2 linked regions of the Struthio camelus genome follow. The protein of the gene in region 2 binds, or shares a complex with, the protein of the main gene of each other region. Links are inferred from orthologs where the notes say so. Each region holds a gene or a part of one and is shown on either strand. Other genes may lie near its edges.

Region 1 (3,896 bases), on a different chromosome or scaffold from region 2:
GCACAGGGAGGCAGGACATGACAGCCTGCACCATCTCCCAAAGCCTCTGAAGAGTTGCGCTATCGCGTGCGTCATCAGGGAGGCCGGTGCCACTGGGTGGGACCCCACGGCCTTGCAGGCTTGGAGTCACCCACGAGACTCAACAAAAAATTCACCGTCTGCCGCGTTCATTCAGAGCGGTTTGGTGAGGGGACAGAAGTCCAATTTCCGGAGCAGCGCAGGGCGAGGAGGTTGGTTATCGTCTCCTGTCCCGCTCTCTGCGCCGAGGAGGGTGTTCGCGTCGGCTCGAGAGCCGAAACGCGCCTGCTGCTGGGTCGGGGCCGCGGCGGTACCTGGGACAAGCAGTGGTGCCTCAGGGCAGGGGGTTGAGCGGCTCAGCAAACTTCGGGCCGCTGGTACTTCCAGAAGGCGATCTCCCCGTCGTCGCTGCAGGAGGCCAGCAAGCCCGGCTCCTTGGGGTTCCAGGCCACGCAGTTGACGTCCTGCGAGTGCGCCCGGGGCACGTGAGCGGCGAGGCTGAAAGTGGGCTGCTGCGAGGCCGTGGGCGAGCTCTCCTCGAACACCCGGATGGCGTCGTCGCCGCAAGCCGTCGCCAACGCTCCGGTCAGGTGGCACCTAGAGCAGAGGCAGTGCAACGGGTCACCGAAAGCCATCGGGAGAGGGAAGAGCACCCTTGACCCAGCCCCGCAAAGGAGAACCGGCGCAGCAGCAGCCCACTCACCATGCCACGTCGTAGATGGTCCTTGTGTGGAAGCCCGAGAGGTTGCAAATACACTTCCAGGTGGGGTCAGCACCGCTGCAGGCCACCCCTGGGAGGCAAGAGAGAATAACCTAAAATCCGCTGTCAGGTGGGAAGGGGCAAATTGCAGCGGTGAGCAACCCTGCCAGGTGCTGTGGGCACCGCAGGGTCTCCAGTATAAGCAAGCTCATGAAATGCAAGTTGACATCAACGTAAACGCTTGGACCGTGTGCCAAATCCATTAACGGCACCAGTCTTTCACCTCCAGCCGCCTCTGTCATGCTGCATAAAGGGAAAACGGTTCCCCAGGCAGGGAACCGTTTTCCGCTGCAGGTTAGAACCAGCTCAGCTGTCACCACCTCGCCGCGGCGAGCGCGAGACGGGGCGAGAGCAGCTCTCGGCGCGCTCACCTTCCTCGTTGCCCGGCTTGTACTGGCGCCAGATGCGCACCGTCTTGTCGTCGCTGCAGGAAGCCAGGCGCTCGCCGCTCCGGTCGAAAGCCACGCTCCACACGGTGGATTCGTGGCCCTCCAGCGTGGCGCAGCACACCCAGTCGTCCTCCTCTTCGTGGTAGAGCTTCACCGTGTCGTCGTAGCTGGCCGAGGCCAACAGCTGAGGGAGGGCAGAGAAAAGAAAGAAATACGGATGCTGCACGGAAAGGCTCAGCGCGAGGCCCTCTTTCTCCCTGGGAGAGCCCGGCTTTCGCGGGCAGGGCGTTGGCGTCCCTCCAGGCCGGAAAGGCTCAGAGACGGGGCCGCTTCGTCCCTGCTTCATCTTTTTCTCCCAAGCTTGGCGCAGCTGGTCAGAAACAGCCACCCCGCGGGCGCGTTCGCAGCGAGTTTCTGGGATTTCCTCAGCCCCGGAAAAGCAACAGATGGTGGAGGGGGAAAAGCTCTTACCTCCTGGTTTGGGTGCCACACCACGTGCTTGACGTCCTGCGTGTGGGAGTTGAGGACGCTCACGCACTCGTACTCCTCCTCTTCGTCCACTGCACGGAGAAAGCTCGCTGTAAAGCGAAGGAGCGAGGCGCCGGGCCGGGCCGCGAGGCGGAGGGAGAGCGTGGGCCTTGCCTCTCACCTTCCCACACCCACACGCTCTTGTCGCGGCTGCACGTGGCCAGGAGGTTACCGGAGGGCGCCCAGGCCACCGACTTCACCTCGTTCTCGTGTCCCTCCAAGGTGGTGACGCACTGCCCGAGGAAGAGGGGAGAGTGAGCGGCGGCCGGCCCGGCGGCCCCCTGCCCGCCCGCCCGCCCGCGCCGCCCTCACCTCGAAGCCGTCCGGCTGCTTCTTCCAGATGCAGGTGGTGGCGTCGAAGCTGGCCGAGGCCAGGTAGGTGCCGCAGGGCGACCAGGCCACCTTGCGCACCGTGCGCTGGTGCCCGTCGCCCAGCACGGCGCGGCAGGCCCAGCCGGGCCCTGCGGGCACCGGGCGCCCGCTAGCTTCCCCCTCCGGCCTGGGGTCCCCCCGGCCCCGCCCCCTCTGGCATGCCCCTCCCTCCCGGCCCTTCTCGCCCCGCCCCCTCCCTCCCAGCCCCTCTAGCCCCGCCCCCTCCCTCGCAGCCCCTCCCAGCCCTCTCTAGCCCCGCCCCCTCCTTGCAGCCCTCTCTAGCCCCGCCCCCTCCTTGCAGCCCCTCTAGCCCCGCCCCCTCCTTGCAGCCCCCTCTAGACCCGCCCCCTCCCTCGCAACCCCTCACAGCCCGCTCTAGCCCCGCCCCCTCCTCGCAGCCCTTCTAGCCACACCCCCTCACAGCCCCTCCTTTCCAGTCCCTCTAGCCCCGCCCCTTCCTCTCAGCCCCCCTTACAGTCCCTCTACCCCACCCTCACATTCCCTCTAGCCCCGCCCCTTCATCACAGCCCCTCCCTCTAGCCCCGCCCCGCCCCTCCCGCCCGGCGCCGCCGCCCACCTTCCCTGCCCCAGAGGCGGACGACGCGGTCGCCGCCGCAGGAGGCCAGCAAGGAGCCGCCGGGGCTCCAGGCCAGGTACCAGCAGCGGGAGTCGGGGTGGGCCGGCCGGCGGCACAGCAGCGACAGCGCCTCCTTCATGGCGCCGCCGCTCCCGCTCCCGGCGCCGCGCGGTGACGTCAGGCGCGGGCGGAAGCGGAAGCGACGGCGGCCGGCGAGGGGCAGCGGGGGGGAGGCGGCGGCGGCGGGGAGCGGCGCCATGTACACCCCCGGCGGGCCGGGGCTGCCCGGCGGGCGGCGGCGGCGGGGCGCGGCGGGCGGCGGCCTGCCCAAGCAGCCCGAGCGGAGCCTGGCCTCGGCGCTGCCCGGCGCCCTCTCCATCACGGCGCTGTGCACGGCGCTGGCCGAGCCCGCCTGGCTCCGCATCCACGGCGGCACCTGCGCCCGCCAGGAGCTCGGCGTCGCCGACGTCCTGGGCTACGTCGACCCCGAGCTGCTGCGAGGTGAGGCCGCAGCCAGGAGCCCCGGCCCTGCCTTTTGGGGTGACCCCCCCCAATTCTGGGCCTTGGCCCCTCGACCCCCCCCCCCTTAAATTCCCTTCTCAGCGGCCTCGGCCGCCCCGCTTCGCCCCGACGCGGCCCGCTCCGCTGGGCGGCGGCGTCCGGAGGAGACGGGGGCCGCGCGGCGGTTTCTCCGCGCTGTCGCCCCTCCGTCTGCCTCGTCCGTCCGTCGCGCCTCGGCCTCTCTGTTCCACCCTTCCCGGGCCGGCGGCTCCGCGCGGCGTTTCGGGAGCGGTCCGTTTTCACAGAGGGCGTCGAGGGAGCTCCCGGCCTCGTGGCTTGGGAGCCGTGAATCGCCAAGCGGGCCGCGTCGCGCCGAAGCTTTTAGCTTTTTCCGACTTCTCGAGCGGGCCTGCGGGGTCTTTTTCTCTCGCGGTGAGCTTAATAGTTGGTTTGGCAGCTCTAGGGAAGACCTAGGCTGTAATTTCCTGCTGTTGAAGCCACTCAGCGAGGCAGATAGACCAGTCGGGACTTCCGGGTGCCACCAAGGTGTGAGTTTCTGCAACCTGTGACGCCAAGCGCCTCTTTTTAATAACAACTTCCACCTTGTTTTGGACTCTGCTTCCACAGGGTCTTTTTATTTTTCCCTTTAACGTTTAAGCTTCGGGGCGTTCTGTCCGTGCCCTTTGTAGAAATTCAGCTCCAAAGGGCAGCAACAAAGCCGTCCGTTCCCAAACACCGCCGACATAGCAAA
Region 2 (3,896 bases):
TGCAGTTAATTTAGTACTCAGCAACACATGCAAGAAGCTCAACATGTTTTTCCAACAACCGCACGAAGGCCACGAGGTTAGAAAAACCTCCCCTTTTGCTCAAGGAGATGTGATGCAATTTAATATTTTCTGATGTATGATTCTATGAAAGGTCAGAGGGGCCAAAGGACACTCGCTGGCTCACTTGCTTGTCAAGGTAGGTTTATCACAAGCACCATACGGCTGATGAGAGCTGTGGGGGGAGCAGCCTATCTCTTTGTATGCTTTTGAAGAGGCAAAGCTTTCTCAGGGCACTTCTGTAACATGACCATAGATGACAAGAGCAATTGTAAGGTTATCTTCCCCCCCGTCTATCGCAAACATGTTGGAGGCTTTGTGCAACTCTTTTGCAACATCTTGAATGTCATACAGTTTAGTGAATTCCTCCAAATTTCCTTGGCGTCTTCTTCATCATGCATTACATGGACCATTGGGTCATCTGCCAGTTTTGCCAGCTCATCTCTTCACCAAGATACCACTGAACAGTTTACCCCCTTGGGAAGGGTCTGTTAGCTACCCTGCGGTATAATGCAGCCTATGTACTCCTCTGCTCTCTCAAATCCTTTCCAAACACACAGAAGCCACTGCCTAGAAACACGAATGCTCTGCCTTATCCTTAAAAAGCCATGTTCCTGAAGCTGCAAATTCCCTAATGTAACAAAGTCACCAAATTGCTGCTCCAAGCGGAAAGGCAAATTATCCAAGGAAGTCAAATGCCTCAAGCCCAGCCAGGAAAGGAGGAGAAACCACAGAAAGGGCAGCCAGACCCTGAGCCCCAGAACTAGGGGCAGGAGAAGCCAGCACACCAGCTTTCTACCTGGTGAAAGGCAAGGCCAGGGGCTTCCTCCCCGCAGGTGGCCAACCTCCACCTCCCAGGCAGCCGTACCCAGGACCATCCTGCAGCTCCCCCTGCGCCCCGCACCTCCAGTGCCACGGTTCATAGCCTCACACATCCCCACACCACATCCCCCTGCCCGAAAGTGTCACTCTCCACTCCAGGCCAGCCCCCCCTGCACTGCCCCCCTGCAATCCCAGCCCATGCTGTAGGCTAGCCTTCCAAAATCCTGATCAGCCTCACAGATCGCACAACTCTGCATTCACCTCAGCTCTGAACAGCCCTGCATCTGCCCAAAATCCGTGCCCACCTTACTCCTAGAGCTCCCTACTCTTGCTGCTGCCCCACATCTACCCCACAGTCCCTAATCCCTTGCATCCCCTGTCAACACTCATCTCACAGCTGTTTCCCACCCCCAAATTCAGGCCCCCACCCTATTCTTTGACTGGCATCCATCCTGCAGCACTGCCCTGTAGCCCACAGCCCCCGCTGCTCTCTACTGCCATATCCCACGGCACTTTCTTTGCCCAGCACCCCACGGCTCCCTGTATCCCATTCCCCACAGCAGCATCCTGTCCCCACGCCCTGCTCTACCCCATGACCATCCCAATGCCAGATCCTACCCCACAGTCCTGCACCTGTATTTTGCTCTGCTCCATGGCCACGTCCAAAAGCCAGTGTCCTGCCCCGTGGCTACATCCCATGCCCTGCCCTATCCTCCCTGCAGCTCCATGTTCACTTGGCTATGCCGAAACATCCGTTCCCTGTCCCCAAAACGGCCCTGTCCCACCCCACAGCCTTAGGCGCACGCCTCCGTTCCCTGCCCCACAGCTCCATAGGTATGCCACATGATCTGCCCGACTGCCCTGTGCCCTGCCCCAGAGCCACGCTCCATATCCTGTCCCACCACCATGCCCATAACCCTACACCTTGCCCACAGCCTCATGCTTTGCCCCACAACTCACAGCCATGACCTTTCCTGCCCAGCCTCACACCTCCATGCTCTACCCCATATCTCATCAAATAACTATAACTGTGCTCTGCCCCACACACTGCGCCGTATCTTCATACTCTGTCCCATGCTCTACCCCACAGCCCCATGGCCCCACAGCCCACCCCACAGCCCCATGCCCACGGCCACACCCTGCCCCACCGCACAGCCTGCCCCACAGCTCCATGGCCATGCCACTGCCTTGCCCCACAGCCCACCCCACTGCCCCATGGCCACAGCCATGCCCTGCCCCACAGCCTGCCCCACAGCTCCATGGCCATGCCTCTGCCCCTGCCCTGCCCCACAGCCCCATGCCCACGGCCATGCCCTGCCCCACAGCTCCATGGCCATGCCACTGCCCTGCCCCACAGCCCGCCCCACAGCCCCATGGCCATGGCCACGGCCAGGCCCTGCCCCACAGCCTGCCCCACAGCTCCATGGCCATGCCTCTGCCCCTGCCCCTGCCCCACAGCCCCATGCCCACGGCCATGCCCTGCCCCACAGCTCCATGGCCATGCCACTGCCCTGCCCCACAGCCCGCCCCACAGCCCCATGGCCATGGCCACGGCCAGGCCCTGCCCCACAGCCTGTCCCACAGCTCCATGGCCATTCCTCTGCCCCTGCCCTGCCCCACAGCCCCATGCCCACGGCCATGCCCTGCCTCACAGGTCCATGGCCCTGCCATTGCCCTGCCCCACAGCCTGCCCCCCCCAGCTCCATGGCCATGCCTCTGCCGCTGCCCTGCCTCACAGCCCGCCCCACAGCCCCATGAGATACCCGGCCCCACTGCCGTGCCCGGCCCCACCACACCCCCGCCCCACACCCCAGGCCCGGCCCCATCCCACCCTACACGCCCCGCCCCGCCCCGCCCTGCCCCGCTCCGCCGCCCGGTACCTGCCGCCACCTCAGCGGCGCGCGCGTCCTGCTGCCCGGCCACGAAGTCCTGGACGAAGGCGGCGAGCAACCCGGCCCCGGCCCCGGCCCCGGCCCCGGCCCCGGCCGCCGCCATGACACTCCGCGCTGAGGACAGCGAGCCGCCGGCGCGCCCGGCCGCGCGCATGCGCCGCGCCGCGGCCGCCCCCCGCCCTCGCGCGCGTGGGGGAGGGGCCTATAACGCATGCGCGCGGCTGGAGCTCGCCCCCCCCCCCCACCCCGGAGGGCGAACCGTGGGGCCCCAAGGGGGGGGGCCGGCCCCCCTACCCCCACGTACGGCGCGTCGGATGGGACAAAAGCGTCGTGCGAGTGGGCGCGCCCACGTGGGCGGCGCCGCCCGCAAGGTGGTGCCGGTGCCGGTGGCGGTCGGGGGTCCCGGCGCGGGCGGGGCGGGGCGGGGCGGAGCGGGCCGTGCTGGGCCCCAGCTCGGGCCCGGGCGCCGCGGGGGCGGTCACATGCACACCTGGGGAGGGCGGAGCGCGGGGTGTCTCCGGCGGCGGGGCGGCCCCGGCGCTCAGAGCCCGGCGGCGCGGCTGCACGGCGCCGGGCCCCGCGGTCGGGCGCAGCGCGGAGCCGGCCCGGCCCGGCCCCATGCCGAGCGCCCCGCGCCGCCGCCGCCCGCGCCGCCGCCGCCGCCCCTGAGCCCGGCCATGGGCGGCTGCGTGGGGCGGCAGCGCCGGGAGCGGCCCGCCGCCGGCAACCCCCGCAAGCGAGCAGGTGAGCGGGGCCGGCCGTGCGCCCCGGCGGCGCGGGCACCGGGGGGGGGCACCCCCGCGTGGTCCGCGGGCACCGGTTTGGGGTCTAATTTTGTGCGCTCTTGGGGGTGTCCGTGGGCACCGGCGGGGGTCCGGTCCGTGGGCACCCGGGAGTGCCTCGTCCGTGCCTCCCCCCCCCCGCCCCGGGGGACCCGGTGCGGTGCGCGGCCCCGGGATGGGGCGGGCGCCGCCGAGCCCGGCCGTGGGCTCCCCGGCAGCGGCCCGTCCCCGCAGCCCTGCCCGCCCCGCGGGGCTCAGCCGTCGCCCCCCGCTCACGGCACCGGGCGGGCCCGCGGCGGGGACGCCGGCGGCAGCGCCGTGGCCGGTGCCGCGGGGCCGGGCA

What was found.
Region 1: MMS19 (region 2) and CIAO1 share a complex: the UniProt entries of both Homo sapiens proteins name them as parts of the MMXD complex. The link is inferred for Struthio camelus from reciprocal best matches to the Homo sapiens genes MMS19 and CIAO1.

Annotation. Positions count from the first base shown.
Region 1 is NC_090968.1:1,352,848-1,356,743, forward strand, and holds the start of CIAO1 (probable cytosolic iron-sulfur protein assembly protein CIAO1), read right to left. Parts: upstream 2,846-3,896; 5' UTR 2,784-2,845; coding exon 2,645-2,783; intron 2,157-2,644; coding exon 2,008-2,156; intron 1,929-2,007; coding exon 1,817-1,928; intron 1,728-1,816; coding exon 1,639-1,727; intron 1,352-1,638; coding exon 1,150-1,351; intron 810-1,149; coding exon 722-809; intron 616-721; coding exon 375-615; 3' UTR 1-374. Other genes in the region: TMEM127 (transmembrane protein 127), read left to right, coding at 2,902-3,145. UniProt on the Homo sapiens protein: Key component of the cytosolic iron-sulfur protein assembly (CIA) complex, a multiprotein complex that mediates the incorporation of iron-sulfur cluster into extramitochondrial Fe/S proteins.
Region 2 is NC_090948.1:17,004,204-17,008,099, forward strand, and holds the start of MMS19 (MMS19 nucleotide excision repair protein homolog), read right to left. Parts: upstream 2,908-3,896; 5' UTR 2,875-2,907; coding exon 2,760-2,874; intron 1-2,759. Other genes in the region: UBTD1 (ubiquitin domain-containing protein 1), read left to right, coding at 2,983-3,142. UniProt on the Homo sapiens protein: Key component of the cytosolic iron-sulfur protein assembly (CIA) complex, a multiprotein complex that mediates the incorporation of iron-sulfur cluster into apoproteins specifically involved in DNA metabolism and genomic integrity.